Linked DNA regions of Oreochromis niloticus. The protein of the gene in region 2 interacts with the protein of the main gene of each other region in a pairwise test. Links are inferred from orthologs where the notes say so. Each region holds a gene or a part of one and is shown on either strand. Other genes may lie near its edges.

Evidence for each region.
Region 1: the proteins of nudt18 (region 2) and dut interact in binary tests that used the Homo sapiens proteins (3 or more experiments, as listed by UniProt). The two-hybrid records come from large-scale screens. The link is inferred for Oreochromis niloticus from reciprocal best matches to the Homo sapiens genes NUDT18 and DUT.

Annotation. Positions count from the first base shown.
Region 1 is NC_031965.2:12,770,750-12,781,414, reverse strand, and holds dut (deoxyuridine 5'-triphosphate nucleotidohydrolase, mitochondrial), read left to right. Parts: upstream 1-5,857; 5' UTR 5,858-5,926; coding exon 5,927-6,035; intron 6,036-6,530; coding exon 6,531-6,687; intron 6,688-6,847; coding exon 6,848-6,939; intron 6,940-7,108; coding exon 7,109-7,153; intron 7,154-7,248; coding exon 7,249-7,323; intron 7,324-7,837; coding exon 7,838-7,908; intron 7,909-8,605; coding exon 8,606-8,662; 3' UTR 8,663-8,739; downstream 8,740-10,665. Other genes in the region: slc12a1 (solute carrier family 12 member 1), read left to right, coding at 918-1,046, 1,237-1,348, 1,540-1,626, 1,787-1,922, 2,053-2,120, 2,216-2,351. UniProt on the Homo sapiens protein: Catalyzes the cleavage of 2'-deoxyuridine 5'-triphosphate (dUTP) into 2'-deoxyuridine 5'-monophosphate (dUMP) and inorganic pyrophosphate and through its action efficiently prevents uracil misincorporation into DNA and at the same time provides dUMP, the substrate for de novo thymidylate biosynthesis.
Region 2 is NC_031977.2:38,178,102-38,189,068, forward strand, and holds the start of nudt18 (8-oxo-dGDP phosphatase NUDT18), read left to right. Parts: upstream 1-5,995; 5' UTR 5,996-6,132; intron 6,133-6,221; 5' UTR 6,222-6,223; coding exon 6,224-6,394; intron 6,395-6,479; coding exon 6,480-6,590; intron 6,591-10,967. Other genes in the region: uncharacterized protein LOC100698890, read right to left, coding at 1,871-1,927; sdhaf1 (succinate dehydrogenase assembly factor 1, mitochondrial), read right to left, coding at 3,636-3,884. UniProt on the Homo sapiens protein: Mediates the hydrolysis of oxidized nucleoside diphosphate derivatives. Hydrolyzes 8-oxo-7,8-dihydroguanine (8-oxo-Gua)-containing deoxyribo- and ribonucleoside diphosphates to the monophosphates. Hydrolyzes 8-oxo-dGDP and 8-oxo-GDP with the same efficiencies.

The DNA of each region.
Region 1 (10,665 bases), on a different chromosome or scaffold from region 2:
TCTAACTCATATTTAACCCTTTCATGCACGAATTATGACAACATCAATCAAGTATTTTTCTTCATCTTTAGCCATGAAAAGATGAATAAAAATGCTCAATAATAAAATCCAGATTGAGATTGTCATAATTCATGCATGACAGGGTTAAATAACAATAATTACAATGAAACACGTCATATATCTATAGTAACATTAAACGACCAGAGGGTGGCAGGGGATGGAGTGACACATCAGTGTCTAATGTAGTGGTTTATGTGCAAGTAAACCATCAACATTGACACAAATACAAGAAAACAGCCTTTGAATAGCTGCCCACTGTAGTGACCACTATGCATGAAAGGGTTAAAGAAAAAGTTGCATCAAAAGATGGATGTGATCTCTTAATATGTGGAAGCACGTTTCTCTTTTTCAGTCTCCTCCACACACAGACTCAAATAGCTTACATTTAATAAATGAAACCAATGACTCTCTTTTTTTTGGGGGGGGGGTCATACTCACACTGAGACATAATTGAATCGGCCATTCCCACTAAAGAGGCCTCTGACGCTGTAATCCAATAATACACTCCTTTTCGTCCACTTTGAAGAGCATCTTTTAAGAATGTTCCTTTAACCCAGACAGCAGAGGGTGCTTGCAGCCTGTAGCTCAATCTTTCTCTGTTTCACACGCACACGCACATGCCAACACACACTCATCCCTGAGCTGCATCTTGGCAAGACAGCAAGACAAGGCAGTCATTAGTATACAAAATGCACCCTACTCATTGGAGCATTAAACTTGAGAGACGGCCATTTCTGGTGATGTAGAGTCATCTCTTAATGTTGGTTTGTGATAGTTTTCATATCCGACTTTACAGTGAATTATATTCCCTCCTGCTGTTGCTCTCATATCTTTCTCCCTTTCTTTCTCTCTCCCAGTGTCGGTGTGTGGCTCTGCACCGCCACAGGTTGCCAAAATGAATGAGAAGCTGTTGGAAGCCAGTCTTCAGTTCAAGAAGAAACAGCCCAAAGGCAACATTGATGTGTGGTGGCTGTTTGATGATGGAGGTAATTCTTGGCTCATTTTTATGAACACTGCCTGAAGTTCGTAACAGATAGGTGCACACAAATCCATAACATTCTCCTCGATATCACTGGAGACAAAAATATATGAAACAAGCCAAATCTTTAAAAAGTAGTAGTCTCTGAAAGATGCAACATGGAGCAATAAATAAAAAATGTGCTTCTCTTCTCTCAGGTCTTACACTGCTCCTCCCCTACATCCTCACTACCAGGAAGAAGTGGAAAGACTGCAAAATGAGGATCTTCATCGCAGGACAGCCTGGACGCAGTGATCTGGATAAGGAGGAGTAAGTAAACTAATTAATATTTCAATATCAATTGCAGTTTAATATGTGGAAGTTAGATTGGATACATTAATTGGCAAGATATGAAAATTCATGTGCTGCTAACGTTACTGGAATGCTATTTAGCATTAACACCAAAATAATGAAGTACATTTATATGAAAGCTAATCAGTGCATGGTGATTTGACTTGCAGGATGAAGGGCTTGCTGAAGAAGTTTAGAATTAACTGCAGTGACATTAATGTCTTTGATGACCTACATACCAAGCCCAGGTCTGAAAGGTAACTGCCATTTCTTTTCACATGCACAAGGAACAGCGAACCAGATGCTGAAGTAGTAATAGTAAAAATTAATCACATTGTAATATCAGCATGCTACAGGTTTAGGGGAGAAAAAGAACATTTATAGAGAAAGCTCATGTTCCTATTTGCATTTGTCCAGCTTGAAGGAGTTACAGGAGATGATTGAGCCTTTCCGTCTGCATGAAGGGTCCAAAGACCCTGATCAGATTAGAGCCTTGCAGAAAGAGCAGCCCTGGAAGATCACCGACAAAGAGCTAAGCCAGTTTGAGGAGAAGGTAAAAACCACTGACACTAAGTAATAACCTTACACAGGCTACAGTGAAGATATCATGTATTATCTTCATATCAATATAAACAAAATAAAAAATGTATTGTTAAAAAAAATAACTGTCGCTTTTGTTACAGACACACCTCCAGGTACGACTGAATGAGCTCCTCAAGGAACACTCCAGATCAGCCAATTTAATCATTGTGTAAGTATATATTGTCTGAATAACACTACCAAGCATAATCCAGTGTTGAAAGAACAATGTCTAACATATTTGTTTACACTGTTGACCCCCTGTAGGAGCATGCCAATAGCTCGTAAAGAAACGATCTCTGATTTCCTCTACATGGCCTGGCTGGACATTCTGACAAAGGACCTTCCACCCACCCTGCTCATTAGAGGCAACCACAAGAGCGTGCTCACTTTCTACTCTTGAGCACTTTCCATGCTAACAATCCGAGTGTGATATAGCTAGAAAGGAAAAGGAATGGTGTTGCCATAATGACAAGCCATGTTTAAATAAAATGGCCGGCAGAAAAGTGTAACACAATCAAGCATTTGTGGATAACTCCAGTTGAAAGCATGTATGTGTCAAATGATACATCAAAAGTCTAATGCCCTCTAAGAAAGGACACACACACATGCAACAAGTCTGTATTTCCGAAATTGAATTTGTAAATGTGAATGTGTCTGAATATGAATTTAGCAGCTTAGAAGAACACATAGTCAAATCAATTCAAATCAGTTCATAAACAAAGGCAGAGACACAACCACGGCTGTGCAATGGTCATACTGAATGTGACTGTAAAATAATTGTATATAGTAGATGTGTGTATTCTAGAAATGATCAACATCTTGTTATTGGCAACTTTATTATCAGTTCTTTTTTTAAACACTTGTTATATTCACTGTGTAAAATACACTGCTGCCATTATACAGATGTTTACCTTTCACGTGACATTTTTTCAATATTTTTCATGTTACTTTCATAGTACACTTTTTAAGGGCAACAGAATAAGGTAGAACATTATAAATCAGATTATTCTGTAAATTTTACCCTTCCTATTTTAGTCTATCTATTTAAGCACATAATGTTAATCAGCTGAAATAAAGATTAAAAACATTTGTGATGTCTTCTTATGTGAATATATTATATTTATTTATAGTGTCAGATGTTCTTAGTCCACAGAAATGTGTCAGTGGAGGGGGAAATGGGGTATTTGCCGCAGCATATAATTTAGATGTCTATTCATTTTAAATGTATAGTATCTTACTTGGCACCTTACAGACTTCATTTGGATATTTTCTCATTTTTTGATGATTATGGTTATATATAGTTTGGAACACTGGGAATAAAAAGTCTGCACACTTTGAAAGTAGTCAGCAGAACCTAAGGTTTAATAATGATGATGTTCATCAGACACATTTATTTATTGCAAACCATAAAAGATCTTTTGGGTTAAAAGTAAAGCTGCACATGCCACCTACATATCAGCCAAATCAAGATCAGCCTTCCCTATCAGCAAATAAGACGACCTTTACCGTTGGCAGTAGCCATAACCCAGTGTCTATCTGTTGTGTCACATCAACGATACAGAGTTCAAACATAATTTAGCTCACTCTAAAACTATTATTTTAATTGCTGTAGCTGAAATTTTGCAGAAAATTTTGCAGAAAACAAAAAAACACACCTATACAGGCATAACCTGTCAGTATTGGGCCACAACTCCCTGATCATATTATGTGTCTATGAATATATTACACTGAATGTGAATCCCCTTTTAACCACTTTAAACCCACAGACAGAGCTAAAATTTGTAATCCAACAGAAACTTTTTGACTGATGGTGATATTCAAGGGAGAAAATCTTAAAATTCAACTCTGTTCTCAGATAAAGGGTTATAGATACTCTGAGTATGATCTTTGAACATCGGCTGTTTTTTCACTCATTTTCAGGCCAGTCCTTGTACCTGACCATGTTTTTGTTTGTTTGTTTAAGTTGTTTAACAGTGATCTATGAATCATTCAAGCATTAAAAAAAGGCTGTTGTGTCGACACATACTGTAAAAGACAACTTAATTCCTAAAGAGCTGACCCAGAATATGAGAGCTGCATCTGGCCTTTCAGTTGAGAACAGAGAGAACAGGTGGAGGTATGCCAAATGACACAAGGGCAAATCAGTAGTACCAGGTCTTATGGAGGGAAGAAAAAAATTTGACACTTTTGGTTCAAATCATCAATGTATACAGAGAAGGCAAGGAGTCCAACACTGAGTGTCTACAGCCATCTGTAGGCTGTGGTTTGGGACTGCATTTCAGCCTGTGATGTATGGGATCCTGTCAAAATCGATACACTCAAGAACCAAGAAAAATCTGATTTTGAGCCACTATGTAGTACCATCTGGAAAGCATCTGATTGCCAATAGCTTAATTTTTAAATATGACAAAAATCCCAAACACATGGCCAATCCAGTAAAAGCATACCTAGATAGAAAAACAGCACCACTGGTCATGGATTGGCCTCACCAGATCCTGGACCTTAACTTTACTTAAGCAGCGCGGAATCATCTTTCCAGAGAACAGAGCGAAGCTGTTTCCAAAAAACAGCTTCAAGATGCCTGAAGAGTTCAGGCTGTGTTGACGAATCAAGGTGATCATAAAAAAATGTTGAATTTCAAGGTTGCTAGAATTGTATAAAACCTGTTTTACAGATATAAATATATATCTATATCACTCTCTGGCTCGCAGTATATAAATTACTGCATCTGTATGTCCCATTTTGCTAGCAAAATATAAAGAAATGAGGGTTGGCTCGAGACTTTAACACAATTAAGAGAGATCTGCACTGTGATGGAGAGAGAGCTGGCTGCCATGTCATGAAGACCCTGGAAAGACTCATCCTTGACCAACTCCGACCTATTGTCAGGCCACATCAGGATCCCCTTCAGTTCGCTTACCAGCCCCGCCCCGCCTACAAGAAGAGCCAGAGTTGCCTCTATTTTCTGAGGTGCTGAGGTCTTTTAAAATCTGTCAGACAATGCTCAGGATTTTTTACAAGTCTGTTGTGGTCAGTACCATCCTCTATGCTATTGTGGTCAGTACCACCCGCAGGTTGAGGGTCGCATATGCCAATCGACTCAATAAAACTGATCTGCAAGGCCAGTAATGCTGTGGGGATGGAGCTGGACTCCCTTAAGGTGGTGTCGGAGAGGGGGATGTTGTCCAATATAAGGACAATGCAGGATAATACCTCCCACCTTCGCCATGACGTGCTGGCCAGTCAGAGCAGAATATTCAGTGAAAGACTGAAATTACCCAAATGCACCAAAGAACGACGCAGGAAATCAATCCTGCCCATCTAATGCACACTACACAGTGCAATAGTTACACCCTTTTGCACATGATCTTTTTACATTATTAAATTTAGTTCAGTTTGTTACTGTTATTGTCTTACCCACATTATTACTTAACCACATTATTTCCTTGGCGATTAATAAAATATTTTGATTCTGATTTAAATCGTGATACCAGCACGTTCAGATGCTGTGACCTGCAACGGCATTTAGGGGTCATGCTGTGGCATATGGAGTCGGAGAGGATGTCCTGCTATTTGGAGATGACAGCACAGCAGCATTTTGGGATGATGCCACATCTCGGTGCTGATGCCACGATTTGAACTACCCCCGTGTGCTGCCACATCTCGGTGCTGATGCCACGATTTGAACCACCCCCGTGTGCTGCCACATCTCGGTGCTGACGATTTGAACTACCCCCGTGTGCTGTGACAGCAAATTAAATTAATATTTAAGAACATACCCTATCAAACAGAATGGGTTGCGAGTCGATACGACGAAGAGTACATAAATCGTGTTTCGTTCCTTGGTTGTAGCCTATAAAATCGTTTGCGTATTTTATAGGCTGCTGAAGCTTAGAGCCGCTCCGAGACACAGCGGGGGGGGGGAGTGCGGCGTTGGTGAACCTGAGAAACCTGCCAAACGACATTATTAACAGTATGGCCCGAATGCTGCTAAAGGACTTTCAGCTATGCTCGTGGGTTTTTAACGCTGCTCCACGTTTCTTGGGTAAAGAACTGCACTTTCAAATGACAACTAAAACTAAAGGCAAGCAAGAAATTAAAAGCGATAACACCGCCATGACCGACACGCCAGGAAGTGCTTAATGGCGTTAGCTTTGCTAGCCTGTCTAACGTTTTGTAACTGTCTGCTTTGGTTTGCTCGTGTTGTTTTCTTTCTTGTTTGCCGTGTTCGAACCACGTAAGCTAAACAGTCCTTCTGTTTTGTTCGGATATATAATGTATAAGGCTTATGTCAACGATTTCCTTTTTGTTTTTGTAGGCTGATATATTCTTCCACCGGAAGTTCGAAATGTTTATATTAGTAACTCTCGCGAGAAAACTCGCGTTAACTACTTTGACGTAGAGCGGGAATTTCATACAAATTATCTCGCAGACCCGGGAATACACTGAAGCAGATTCTTGGTGGAAGTTTGTAGTGTCGTCCTTTAATTATCAATAACTTAGTTTTTAGTAGGTTTTAATTTTTTTAGTGTACTGTAGGTTTTTAATTTTGCATACTTTGCCAACATGCCCGTCCTAGAAGTCACAAATGCTTCTGCAGTTTCTCCATCAAAGAGAACAAGGACAGAAACACACCCTGCAGAGGAAAGACCTGTCCTCAAATTTGCTAAACTTTCTGAGCATGCTACGACCCCGACCAGAGGCTCAGCTAAAGCAGCAGGTTATGACCTTTACAGGTTAGTAACTCTTTAAACTGAAATTGTGTTAGGTTCACCAGACGCCTAATTTGTGACTGTTGATGTGTGTGCATGTATATTTAAGTCTGATTGTACCTTTAACTTGAAGTATTATTTTAAAAATGCAGATAAGCTTACCTTTACTGTCTTTACTTAACAGTGCGTATGATTACTCCATTCCTTCTATGGATAAGGCCATTGTAAAGACAGACATTCAGATAGCAGTTCCACATGGCTGCTATGGGAGAGTTGGTGAGTGTCTCTCTGCTATTCAATTTTTATTTGTTTTGGGGTTTTTTTTGTTTAAAATTTTATTTGAGTTACCTGTCGTGTGAACTCGTGTTAGGCTTTCCTGTTTGTGCACCAGTTGTAAAACACCAGGTCATCTGTAACTGTCTTTTTGTGGTTTTTCCCTCCCCAGCACCAAGATCTGGACTAGCAGCAAAACACTTCATTGATGTTGGTGGTGAGCTAGCTAGCTATCTGACCTAATCATTGCAAGTTAACCCCAGTAGTGTACAGACATCTTAATTTGTCTTATGTGTCGCATGTTCTCCTCAGCTGGAGTTGTAGATGAGGACTACAGAGGAAATGTGGGTGTTGTGCTGTTCAACTTTGGCAAAGAGACGTTTGAAGGTGAGTTATGGTGACAATAATGTATATTGTCAGTCTTTCATAACCACAGTAACCAATGAAAGTAGTCAGATTAGGGGATGACATTCATGCGCTCCACGTATGGCTTGAAAATATAGATGCAGTATGGTACAAAAGTAGACTTGGATACTTTAAAAGATTGATGCAATTATCAGCTTTTATTTATCACTAAATTTTGTGATTTAAAAAAAAAAATAAAAAATTGGTATTTTGTGTGAACGACTTTATCCATAAAATTGTATCAGTTTACTTTTTAGAACTAAAACTGGGTATTGTGTCAGCTATTGGCTTCACTTTGAAGACCAATATATTATATTGCTTATATTTAATTTAAGCCAAAAAATAAATAGTATTTTTACTGTTGACACTTTTCAGCCTATTGCAGAGCTCATTGGAGCTTAATAATGGAAGTATACACATAAACACTTGATATGAAGACTTTTATCGATCAGTCAGATTTAAAGGTTATCTCATCTGCTTCCTCTTAACCTTACAGTGAAAAAGGGCGACAGAGTTGCTCAGCTGGTGTGTGAGAAGATCTGCTACCCAGATCTGGTGGAGCAAGAGGTAAATTGAATTTATTGGGTAGATCTAATTAAAACCGGTGCAACATAAATGTTTCATGATAGTCATGAAAAGATGCGAAGCTTCAGCTGTGTGGCTATTAGAAGCTGCCATTTTTTGTTGCTCTTGAACTATTATAGGCTACACTACTTAAAGATGTGTAGGCTTATGTCTGTGAAACAAAATGAACTTGAACAGCACTACAAGTGACACAGAAATTGTCAAAAAGCTGAATCTCATCCTCTGAGTTTCAGAACCAGAAAATTAGTCTTCTTTAAGGTTGGGGTTTTAGTAGGATTTCAGCTAAGTATACTTAAAGTGCTGGTTTATTGCTACTTTTTAAAACTACTTTGTGGTGGCTGTAGTTTAGGAGGTAGAGCAGGTCATCCACTAATCAGAACGTTAGTTGCTCCTGCTCCAGTTTTCATACCAAATATTCTTGAGCAAGATTATAACCCCAAGTTGCTCCCCAGTACATCCATCTGAGTGTGAATCTTAAGTAGAAAGAATAGAGGGGAAAAAGTGCTTGGGTGAATGAGGCAAGTTGTATAAAGCGCTTTGAGTGTTCAGAGTAGGAAAAAGAAAACTATGTAGAAATAAAGGTTTAATAATACATTTGTTTTCTTGTGTATTTCTTCAGATTAGTTTTAGTCTTTAAATCCAAGTATTTGCCTTTATTTATTTATTTTTTCTGTTTTAGACACTCGATGAAACAGACCGTGGCGCTGGAGGTTTTGGATCAACTGGAACCAACTGAAACCCTCAAATGTGTTTTTAAAATATGTTACTTATAACTTCGATAAAATAAGAAATAAAGTTTTGTTTTATATTTGAGTCTAGAGTTTTGCTGGGACTGAAAACCATGCGTTCCTAAAGTTATAAATTCTCAACAAAGTTATTCGTCCAGATGGCCACATGGGGGCAGTCATACACAAGAATGTAATCTGCTCAAACTATTTCATCTGCCAGAGACTTGGTAACTTCCCTTTACTTAATACAAACGTGTGCAGAAAGAGGACATATAGGTGCCTGCTCAACTTGGTAACAATGGTAATACAATTCAGATAAAGGGGGAAGCACAGCAGTGAGTACATGTACTCCAAAAATGTTTTTATTGTGAATTTACATCTAAACCCTCACTGATGTGAACATGGAACACAGACTGGTGTCAGGCTGGTCCATTGCAATGCAGCACTGATTTTGACTTGTGAGAGAGTATGTGGCCATGAAGACCTCAGTGCATAATCATGAAGGCCCAGGTTTGGCATCATCAATGTGTTTTTTTTGTGTGTGTGTGTGTGTGTGTGTGTGTGTGTGTGTCTGTGTCTGTATGTATGTATACACAGTTTACAAAGGAAGTAGTTGGTCATTATAAGCACCATTACAACCCCTTCCCCTCTATTCCAGGGGCTTCCTCTAGTTTACAAAAGCTTCATAGATTAAAAGTGGCATTGATTATTACAGTATAAACACAATTTACATGTAGTATAGAGGAGAGCAGGCAGGCTATGAAGCTAGCTGTTACTGTTGCAAAGACATGAAACCTTCAGAAAGGCCAATGGGATTGCGCCTTGTTCACTACTGAGTGCATTCAAAAGTCTATGTGGATGTGTTGCTAGCACCAGTAAATATGAATTATTCTAGTCAGTAGGAAAAATGGAAAAGCATAGTTCAAATATGCGGTAGGAGTCGTTCAAGCTCCGACATAGCTACATCTCAATAGTCCACAATGGGTTCCTCTCCTCTCCTAAGCCTTATTTGGGGAAACAAAGAAATGTGTGTATCCAGGTTTGATAGTCATTTACCTGAGGGGAGGAAATGAATTTATTTCAGACTATTGGGACTCGCCTCTTTCTTTTTATCCCCCCGCCACTTAAGCTGAGTTCTAAGAAAACAAACAAACTTGGCCCTTAGAGCTTTCTGCAGTCCACAAGCCCTTCAATGTGGCATCCGATTCCACATATCATTATACAAGATTAAACCATACAATTACAAACCCTATCCACACCCTCAATAGTGCTTTAAACGCAGCTGGTGTGTCGGGGTGATATGCTTTTTATTTCGACTGGAATCTTTCACACCTTCGGTGGATACTTTCCACAGAAATTGTACCTATGATATGCAGAATCATCTTTGGTGATCAAATGACACAAAACAGTCCATCCCCCCACCCCCACCCCCGTCTTGTCTCTTTGGTGGCGAGCCCTTCTCCCGGTTAGAGCGAGTAGACGTTAACCCTTAGCTGCTGACCCAGAGTCAGAAATGTTTGGCCTTTTTCAGGGGGGACTGTGAGCTTGACACTGGATTAGCAGCTGCTGGCAACATCTGCCTCTCTCAGTCTTGTGATGGTTAATGGAGGATTATCTGCACCCTCATCTTCAGTATGTCTCCCAGCTGTCCTGTGAGGTAGTCTTTATCATGTTGGTCCTCCAGCAAAGCCAGCTCCTTCTTCCTGTACAGGGGCATACTGCTGATATGAAGGTAGTATGCACCTGGCACGAGGCCCTTCTTCTTGCTCAAGTGCAGGTAGCTGACACCCTCCCTCTGGTTGATTTTGAAGTAGCCTTCCTCATTTCCGTAGTCGATGCTGTAACGCACATGGTCGCTCAGTGTGCTTAAGGCCGGGGTAAACTCAAGGATGTGGTCGCGGTTACTCAGGTCATTGATGTTCAGGTGGAACTGGAGAGTGTCTTCGATGTCCACACTGGCCAGGCTGACCACCTCTGTCTCAGTTAGCTGCAAAGAGAAAATGTGGTCTGG
Region 2 (10,967 bases):
AAAAAGTGAAAAAGATGAACAGATTCTCCCGTAAACTCTTAAAACTAGACCAAAGACAGAGCTGATGGAGAAAGACACAGAATCCCTCTGTGCAGGTGAGCCTCAGCAGCCAATCAGGAGCAGGGACTGAACTTAAAAATGAATTGGATGAAAAACACGCTGGTGTACAGAGGCTGAGGCCTGGACTGTGGATCGGGAGGTGACTTCAGGTTTAACTCCGGGTATAAAAGAGCTGCTGACAGACAGACTGACAGACCTAAAGCGTGTACCTGCTGCCTGTGTGAAAGGAAGTACCGCGGTCAAGTGAGCCGTCATTTGTGAGCCGCAGTCAAGCCAGCCGCCTCTTTTCCGTCGCATTAATTTTCTTGCGCTTCTACACCGGCATTTACGGCAGCGCCTTTTCTCCTTATTTCCTGATCGAAAGCATAGACCTGCGCACAAGTACACGCGCAAGCAGTGACACGTGCACGCGCGCGGACTCAGACATGCACACGCATGCATACAATGCTTTGGGACATCCCAAAGCGGGACAGTCGGGTTGCATATTCAAAAATTCATTAAAAATCTTCCTTAATAGTTGATGCCAAGCTTTCAACACATTCTTCCTCTGGGACACCTACTGTACCTCTGGGCCAGGTTTCATCTCAATCCGCTGCATCAATTATTGTTTAATATTAATGGATCAAAAGTGTTGCTGAGAGAGTCATGACAGCATATTTCAGCCATATTTGCTTGTCTTCACTGACTTGCTTTGAAATCCAGATTTTAATTTTGGAATATCAGGTGTACTTGTGGTTCCTATAGAATTTTAAGGTTGAACGGGAATCAGAGTCTTCATCTCTCAGGCCTCTCTTCTGTGGATGCAGCTCACAATATTAATTCAGAAGACAAACACCCGTCTCTGCTCTTGTTATTAGCATTAAAACCTTCAGTCTTGACAAATAATACAGTCAGAGTGGATCAGGTGACCCTGAATCTTCCCTTATTTGTGCTGCAATAAGCCTCGGCTCTTGCGGGCTTCCCGTGATGTATGAATTTTTTCCTTCTTTGCTCGATCTGTGTTTATACACCTCTCTGCATTTAATCATTAGTTAGTATGTATCTCTTGCTCTCTTGCACAGTGTATATGTTGTCCTGTCTCATTTCCACCAACCTCAGTCAGTCACAGTCGATGGCTGTCTCTCCTTGAGCCTGTTTCTGCCAGATGTTTCTACCTCTTCAAATGGAGTTTTTCCTTCCCACTCTCACTAAATGTTAGCTTATATGGGGTAATTAAATTGTTGGGCTTTTCTTTGTATTATTGTTGTGTTTTTACACAACAATAATACATAAGAAGCGGATGGCTTGACCGCGGGTCACAAATGACGGCTCACTTGACCGCGGTAAAGGAAGTGGGACAGGATAACACCTGAATACACCTGCAGGGCTGCAGGTGTACTCAGGTGTACCTGTGTCTTCAGGAGTATTTGTGTATTTCCTTTCAGCTGAGTTAGATTTTAATTTGACTCTGTTGATAGTTTGATGTTCCTGTGAGCCTGCACCTGTAAAGATTACAAGGTCCATGACCCTGTTAGGGACCCTCCCACGGGGTTTCAAATGTGGGACCAATTGTTCTTGGAACTGAAGAAGCTTCTCTGATTAAGTCCAGACGCTTTTCTTTCCAGGCTCCTGAGACTACGATGAGCTGGATGACTGAGAACCTTCACAGAAACCTATAAAGATTCCTGAATAATCAAATTGTCTTTGTTCTTATTAAAAGTCTTTTTGTTCGTTTTGATTGGACCGTTTCAGCCACGCCTAATTCACCGTGACACACGCTGTGATAAAAGTTTACATTTCATTTATTTTACAACAGAATAAATTGATTTACCTGCTGGAATAACTGCGCGTTGCTCATCTCTCCTGTGGGGTTCACTGACCCGGACATGACCGGAAAACGGCCCAAAAACAGCGAAAAATCCCCAAACTAAGAAAAACGTCCCGAGATTAAACTAAAGCAAACTTCGGCAGTTCCTCTGTATTCAACAGCTTTTGCTGAATTTCATATTTATCCACATATTCGACACGACAGTTTTTGTGGACGTACGTGCCCAACTTCCTGTTTACATCACTTCTTCTTCGTCGCTTTAGAAGCAGCTCGGCGGCTCCACAGCGACACATGTGTCAAACTAAACGCTGCTTCCGTTCGCGTGCTGTCTCCGCGTGTTTGCTGCAGAGCTCCGACTGAGCGCCGGGTATCGATTTCCATTTCTATAATCTATTCAGTTCAGTTTTGACTCAGACAGTCAGAAATATTCTAATTCTGATTATTTATCAGTTCATCTCCATATTTTTATATCTATGTATAAACCAAAGCTGACACTGTGAGACTCCATCAGAGGTGTGAGCATCACAGCAGAGGCCTTTGTGTCACAGTAACTGAGGATAAAACAGAAAATCACGAAGCAGATTTTCCTGGCCTGACTTTTTATAGCAGATAACCTTAAAATATTCTGCAGTAGATCCAAAACAGAAGAAAACCGTGAATGAACATGTGAACATGACCTGATGCAAAGTCACAGAGGTTTGATTACAGACACAGCTGAGCAATCATTTTGTAAAAGTTTACATTTCTTCAATTTGAACAGCAGAAATGAGGCTTTACTGTCAGAGGCGGACAGCACTGAGCACAGCAGCAGGCTGGTGCGTAATAAGCAGAGAATAATGCAGAAAACAGAGATTTGATGGTAAAACTGACTCTGAGTGCACTGAGAGAGAGAGAGCTGTGCAGGAAGTAAAACAGCCAAAGTCAGAGGGAGTTAATGAGCATGTTTATCAAGTGTGAAGCGTAGTTCGGAGCTTCTTTTTCTGCAGGTTCAGTGAATTTTGGTTGGAGAGACAAAACCTGCAGCATCAGAATCACTGAGCTTTCGTTCTTCAGCCCTGACGGCGCGTCCGTGACGTCAGGTGAATGATCCACGCTCTCTGTTTACATGTTTCGGCTCTCGTTTACCGTTTTGGCTGTTTGCTGGTTGTTGAAATAGTTTTGTGAGATTTAACCTGAGATTTTAGCGTTTCTAGCAAAATACATTTACATTTAAAAATCGATTCAGGATTTAATGCATCGAAATCACTTTCTTCAAACTAAAATCGACTGATTTTTTAAACCCACTCCTGCTCTGACTCCATTTAAGCTCCTTTAAACAATTTTCTGTGTAAAAACTAAAACACCTGATTTCCCTCGTTTCAGTTCCCCTGGAAACAAACTTTTTAATTTTCTTTTTAATTCCTGAAAAAAAAAAATAGTCACATGACTCTTCATCTACCCAGAATGCAGTGCAGACGCATGAAGAACAATATGAATGATATTTCAGAGGGAGACATGAAGCCTGACCGTCATCAACACATTAACAGATTAACTCTGATGGTTTTGAGTTTCTTAAACATGAATATGAAGAATATGAGTTCGTCTTCATCACAGACACGTTTTATTGTTACAGACATCAGATAAAATTCATTACTGTCAACATTTGTTTCACTGCAGCTTCTATCGCTGCTGCGGCCTTCATAGCCCGTCTCCTGAGCACGATGGCAGCAGTTTGATGGCGCCGGCGTCTTTCAGAGGTACGGCAGTGCGATTCAGAGGTCACACGGTTTCAGCCGCACTCTTTGGGTTTGGAGAAGGAGCCCAGCTGTTTGGTGTTGACGTCCCTCAGCTGCTCCAGCTGCCGCTGGCCCCGTCGGTACAGATACTCGATGTGCATCACGTCCGTCTTCTTGATGCGGGAGTTCTCTCTGAACTCGTCGCGGATTCGGGGGACGAAGCCCGGTTTGTCCCGCCCGGCTCGCAGGAACTGCCGGTACAGAGCGAGGACCTGCTTCTGCAGCTTACTGTGCCGCAACATCAGACCGAGTCAGCAGAGACAAGAGTCCAATCAGAGGGCAGCTACGCACACATGACGCTCCAACACCGGCGTGTCTCCGGCTGCACTCCCTCACACGTCCACTCTGAACACACCACGAGGCTCAGCTTCACCCGTTTCTTCTCATTCAGGGTCTTAAAGAAGATGTTTGCCTGCAGGAAGAACACAAAGAGAACCGAACAACAAAACAGCATTCAGGCAGATTCATCACGTCACGGTCGCTAGTTTTATTCTCCCACAGGAGAAACTGACACCTTGAAGACACGACAGAAGGCATCTGCTCACCTGCAGCTCCACATTTGAATCCTGCAAGAACAGCTTTGCATCAATCAAAGTTCAAAATAATCCTTCTTTATCTCATGTTCTCTCTCTCAGCCTCCTAACATGCCTTCCTCCTCTCCTCCTCGGACTTCGGTCAACAGCAGCACAGTTTCCCCTGAGCCAGACTGAATATAACAAATCTTCTCCTTTTACCTGCTTGTTTTTATTCAGAATGCATTCACTGGAGTTCTGATGAAGGAACACGTTTTTGGCTCTCGCTGTTTCTGATCTTTAACAAAGGCACAGATCTAACAACACAAACACAGCTGTACTTATGTGTGTTTCATATTCCTGCACAAGCATGAACGTGCACGTGAGCCCAGACTGTTCACACAGGTGTCGACCTGCACGTAAAAGCACGTTTTTATTTCAGTAAAGACTCTTCCTCCGTACTTTTTTTTTTTTACCTGACTGCCTCTCCTGATTTTCTCATCCCTGATTGGTTTCTGTGATAATTGAACTCACCTGGCACACGTTATAACAACAACAGAGTTTAGGTGTGTCTGTCTCTCGCTAAAACACATTTCAGCTAAAATAACATGAATAAGTGATCTTTGGATTCTGATTGGATGCCCATCCTTTGACCCTCCTGAGTAACAGTTTTTACAGTAACACATACAGTAGTATTAGCATTACTTATATTATAGTACTACACGCAGTATTACCAGTAGCTATGGCTTATGAAAGTAACCCACAGCCGGTATTTGCCAAAAACTGATTGCTCGTATTTAAACTGCTATAAGTAACTTGTTGGGCTATAATATGTGAAACATATGTCAAATGCATCCCTCATGGATGACATAAAGTCATCTGGAGCCACAAACAACATTTGTGTACCAAGGTAGAAGCTGCAGTCAGTTTTTGCCAGTGACTTTTATATAACCTTTATTTATGCAGTTAAAAAGAATCTCATTAACATTAAAAATGTCTTTTGTAAGAGTAAGTTGGCCAACAGGACAGCAGAGATGGCAGCAAATATTACAATAGTTCTGTAAAAATATTTTAAGTGGGGATAAAGGAGCGGATTGGTTATAATGTAAGTACAATAACACAGAGTTGTAAAGATACTTGAAAAACAGATAATATTTTAATTCTATATAAAACCCCTTTGTAAACGCTGTTCACCGAAGTCTATTTACCAACATACGTAAAGATATTACACATAAAAAATACACGGAAACATTGGAAATCAGTCTTTGGCACAACACCAGCGGCTGCTGGACCTCAGAGGATTGATCAGTGAGAGCGATCAGTTCAACTTCCTGTTTACCTGACGGAGTTCCGCTCAGACCGGTTCGGACCGGCTCCGCTGCTTCACCTGTTTGTCCTATTCCACCGTCACAGGTACGTCTCCCGGCTCTCTGTGAGCAGCTCCTCTGTGACCTTACTGCGTTATAACACCGGCCTCAGCCGCAACGACCAGGACAAACTACAAAACACGTGATTTCCGGGTCAGATTTTCACAATAAAGCACGCACACAGACAAATTAAAGCTCATACCCGTTTTAAGAACGCTGCTCCTGATTGGTTAGAGCTCAGTTACCTTCTGATGTGTTTATCTGAATCTGGACCGTCCAAAGCGCCCGTGGGGGGGGGGCTGTTCGAGTGGGTTAAAAGCTCTTACTGCGGCGGCGCGGAACAGGAAGATTAGTAGCACTTCCGGTGTCACCTTCTGGAGTCAAATGTCAAGACAGGCGAGCTGAAGGAGGGGGGCTCGTGCTTTTATCACCGGCATCTGTTTCCGGGGGGAAGGCTTCGGCGATTTATGACGCCGGTACCTGCGGAGAAAGTAACGAAGTACTTTTAGTGAACTACAGTTTTCAGGATTCAGATCCGACAGTAAGAGAGGAAGCTCTCCCAGCGTCTGTCACACCTGGTAGACACCAGAAACACCACACCTGGATCACAGGTGAGCCTCCGCGCGCTTGCAATCACAGCCTCGAGCTCTGCGGTGTTTTTTTTAGCTGATGAAGACGCTCTCTGTTCTTCCTCTTACAGACATGGAGATGACAGCTGAGGAACAGCAGCAGGTGGAGGAGCAGGTGGAGAGGCTTTTAAGTGGGCAGGGGTCAGAGGTCACTGTGTGTGATGTGGGCCTGGAGCAGAGCAAACCCGCCACCCTGAGGAAGAACGTCACCTACATCGTCTGTGCTGTCATCTTCAATGAGAAGGTGAACAGAGGTCACCACAGGTAGCCACTCCGTCTCATCAATACCCTTAAATGATTGCTTATTTAATTAATTAACACTCCTTCAGGAGGAGGTGCTGATGGTCCAGGAGGCCAAACCGGACTGTTACAAACAGTGGTATCTTCCTGCTGGGAGGGTGGAGGTGGGGGAGAGCCTGGAGGAGGCGATGAAGAGGGAGGTGAGTGAGGAGGAGCCTGTAAGAGTAAGAAGCTGCAGCTCCTCCAGCGTCCAGCAGGGGGAGCAGCGAGTCAGGCCCCATAGACTCCCATGTTAAAACAAACCTGTTTACAGCCTGATACACAAACAGTTTGGTCTCTGTGGATCATATACTCCTTCATAACAGCTGTACACGGAAGAGCGTTTCTATTACTCACCTGTTCAAATTGTATTCAGGCTTAAAGTTTGCATTATTAGAGGCGTGGCCTCTTTGACTGACAGGTAGATGGTGGTACAGGTGGCTGTAGCAGCTAGCTGTCTGCTAGGCTTCACCTTAACTAATGGGAGTCCCTGAACTGGACCCCTGGACCCTGTTTGTGCTGTTGGACCCTTTTGGAGCTTTTTAATGACATCATGTGACCAATAATATGCCTGCTGTGAGGTCACTGTTAAAACAGAGCATCCAAGGAGGCGGAGCTACAGTTCAGATATTACTGAGCACTGATTAGCAGATATGTGTTTGTGTGATGTTTGCATAAGCTCTGTGAATGCAGCTTGCCAACTTTCTAACCAAGATATGCCAAATACGGTCACTTAAGGTTGAAAAAGTCAAAATACTGAAATAACAGTTTGTTTTTTCATTGGGTAAGCACCGCCTTCCTTGCTTGCCCTGACAGAACAACACTGCTTTACAGAGATCAGGGGGCGAGGAGGAGGAGTGATCTGGCTTTAACATCAGTGTTATGTCACCTGTGTGAACATGTTTGTTTTTTGTATATCAATAAAATGTCTGAAAAATCATAATCAGAGGCTTTGCTTGTTTTGAACCTTTTTAACATTGGAGTCTATGGGAATAACTCGCTGGTGGAGCCCCAGGTGGACGTTAGAGGAACTGCAGGTTTTGGTGTTTCAGTTTTTTCTTTTTTAAAAAAAAACTCTTTTATTACAGTTTTTTCTGATGGCTTAAGCACATTTTTTGTAACTATTGGCTATTTTTGCAAAACTCTACACACAAATAAGAAAACTCTTCACCCAATCAGCAAAACATTGTAGTTTCCTTGTAAAAGCGAATAACCTTTGCTTAACTCTCCACACCTTTGTAAAAATGGTATTTTCGTATCCAACAGTTAACACAAGCCATCATATTAATAAGCACACAATGCACCAACTACACACTGATGGTATGAATGAAAACACATCTGGCTTTTGCTTTCTCTGTGCACAAGGTAGGCTATGTCAGATTGAGCTCATACTTTTGTCATAGATCCGTAAGCATAGAGGGATCCAAACTTCAAGTACTGCTGTTTATTCACACACATCAAAACAAACACAAGTGTTTATTTCCAAGTATAGGATTATTTCCAATCACCATATTGACTATATGGGTTTCTTGGTCTGCAGTGAACATGCTTCCTCTGCTCCCAGCATCTGGTCGTCTAGCAATTCTGTAAAGTAACAATTTCAGTATTTTTACATCTATGGTATTGTTGTGTTTCTCATTAGCATGGCAGTGCTACAGATCTTAGTGCAAAGTGACTGTACTAACCGACTCTCATTTCAAAATGTCCTTATGATGCTTGCTACAGTGTAGCGGCTCGAGTTAGGCTGAACCCGTTGGCCTCCTCTAATTCTCACTCTTCCTGCTCCCTCCATTGTACTCCACACACACAGAGCTTACCTGTAGCTTATTTAAAGTGCTTAGGCTGATTGCAAAGTGATCTAATGATCTAAAAAAGTTTTCACATGTGACAGTGTGCCAGACAGTTGGCAAAATAGTGTAAATAATGGCTATAAATGTGTAAAGTTTTGCTAGGAGTGTGTTGATCATTTGGAAATTGAGTGTAAAGCCGTGAGTTGTGTGTTTACAGTTCTGCAAAAAGAGTGCTGTGCAGTGGATTGTAGCTACAGGTTTGCAAAGTGTGTGTTACAAAATGGCAAACTGAGTGCAAAGCAGTGTTTGTGCTTTTAGTTTTGCAAACTCAGTGAGTGGTTTTGCCATAAGTATTAATAGTTTTAGAAATTGTGCTATAAGAATCACAGTTAGGGTTTAAGCATTCAGAAAAAACTGTAAGAAAGTACATTGAACATAACAGTAGTATGACTCTCTACATTGCTTTTGCTTTCAGATTTGTAAACTTATAGTTGAAAACCCCCCCCGTAAGAACTTGGGTTGGGGGTAGTGGGGTAGCCAAGTTAGCTTCGCGTTATTAGCATGGGTATTTCAATCAGTGCACGAGCATAAAAGTGGCAGGCTTGATAGAAAATCCCACCTCACAGGCTCAAACATATTCTGTAGAAGGTATCCGTCTGCACTTTGAGAGAGAAAGACAGTTTTTCCATGGTATAGATGTCTTCTACAGAATATATCCAGTCTTCAGTCAGGCTTGAACCATCTCCTCGTGAGGGCCTGTTTACTCACATCCGGCAGTCCCAGGAATTATGGAAATGGTTAGCACCATCTCCTCCACATCTCCAACAAGTGTCACCAGTTCCCAGATACCTTTTCTGAGCAGGGGGATGAAGAATCTCATGATGCTTTTCCAGCAAAATTCACGCCAAACAACAGTGGTAGTCCACTGTATGCATATGTGGTCCCAGCACTCCTCTGAAATGGTCAGGTTAGCTTTTTTCCCCCACTTCACTTTAACAAACAGTGCTTTTGTTTTTACACAGGATGCTGTTGTATAATCTGGAAATGATTTTATTGTGTGCTCCAGAATTAGTTAATGATACAAATGTTACTACAAATCGTAGATTGTTTATATTCACTTTCAGGTCTTGATTAAAATAATTTCTGACCTGTAGATATCTGAAGAAATCGTCTGAGCTTAAATCATATTTTCTCCTTAAGGTTTCAAAGCTTTGAAACGCCCCCTTGTGGACAGATGATAATAATTAGTTAGGCCTTTTGGAATCCAGTTCCTGAAGCTCTTATCGCACTGATTCAGGGTAAAGTCTGAGTCATATATGCTCCATCTAAAGACTTTAGAGGCATTTTCAAACCACAAATTCTTATTGCTTCACTCCAAGCAGATATCATTACTTGTAGGATGGGTTCATCTGGCAGGTTTGTTTTGTTCTGTAGCTTTGTGTCTGATATTAAAGCTGTAGCTGGTATTACTTTAACATTTGTTCCTTCCAGATCTTTCCATCCCACAGTGTAATCTAAACAACAGAGACATATCAATGGCCTTTTTGTGGTGTGGGAATCTGTAACGACTGAAACAAATGCAGCATGTTTAATCTAATGGATTCAATCCTAGAGTGTAGGTCCAATTAGGGATGGTATTCCATTATATCAGATTTTATGGATTCATTCACAGGACCATAGTTGGCATCAAACATTTTGGTGACATCACGATGTATTACCACCCCTACGTACCTAATTTCCATTTCCAGCGATTCTTAATTTCGATTGGTGGATCGTAGTTTAGAGTTAGTACCTGCGTTTTGTTTACATTAACCTTGTATCCTGAGAAACTCTGAGAGCATTTCCATGATTTTGGGGAGTGCCTGTGTGGGACAGGATGTAGTAGGTCGTCGGTGAACAGTGCTACTCTCTGGTCCCCTCCTGCCGTTCTTACTGTCTCTGCCTGATCCACTGATGGTTCTGTAAACAAGCTGTTTCTGATGATTTAACGATCTTCACAGCGTAGCCTCTACTGGACATGTCCTTAATGGCTTCCACCGCTGTGTTGTAAATCTTTGTTTATCGGTATATTTCACCTTAGCTAAGCTGGAGGGGATCTGCTGCTCTTTCAGAGTCTTGCACGCGTTGGCGTATTCTCTTGGTTTTTTTAGAATCGGGGGGTTAGTCATGGTCCAAACTCACGTGGTTGGAGGTAAATCCTCTGTTCTGCCATGCCTTACGAAGCAGCAGTTCCTTTGTTTTGAAGCTGAGGAATTTCACAATAATAGATCGCAGGGGAGCGTCGCCTGGGGGTGGTGCGCCCGTTCGATGCGTACGTCAAGTTTATCTTGGGACAGCCCAGGCCTTCCCGCGGCAACTTCTCAACAAACTCACTCATTGTTGTAGAGCCCGCTCTGCTGTCGCGGGTACAGCATAAAGGCTCTGTAGGTCTGTCAGTTTGTCCTCCACCTTCACCTGTAGCTTTATTTTTTCAATCATGGCAACCTCGGTGCTCTCGATCCTCCCCTCAGCCTCGTCCAGTCTGGCGCTCACCTTTAGGATTTCTTCCTTCATCTCCCCAGTTTTGCACTGTTTTCTTGGCGAAAGTCTTTTATTTCCTGTAACACAGTGTCCAAGTCAGCCATATTTCAGCCGTTGCTTGCTGGGGTTGGATCACAGTGTGCGGCAGCAGGTTTGCAGTGAGAGGTGAAAAGTATTAGCCTGGAAGCTAGCATTATTTTCCCACCGTTAAACTACCACTTTATTGCC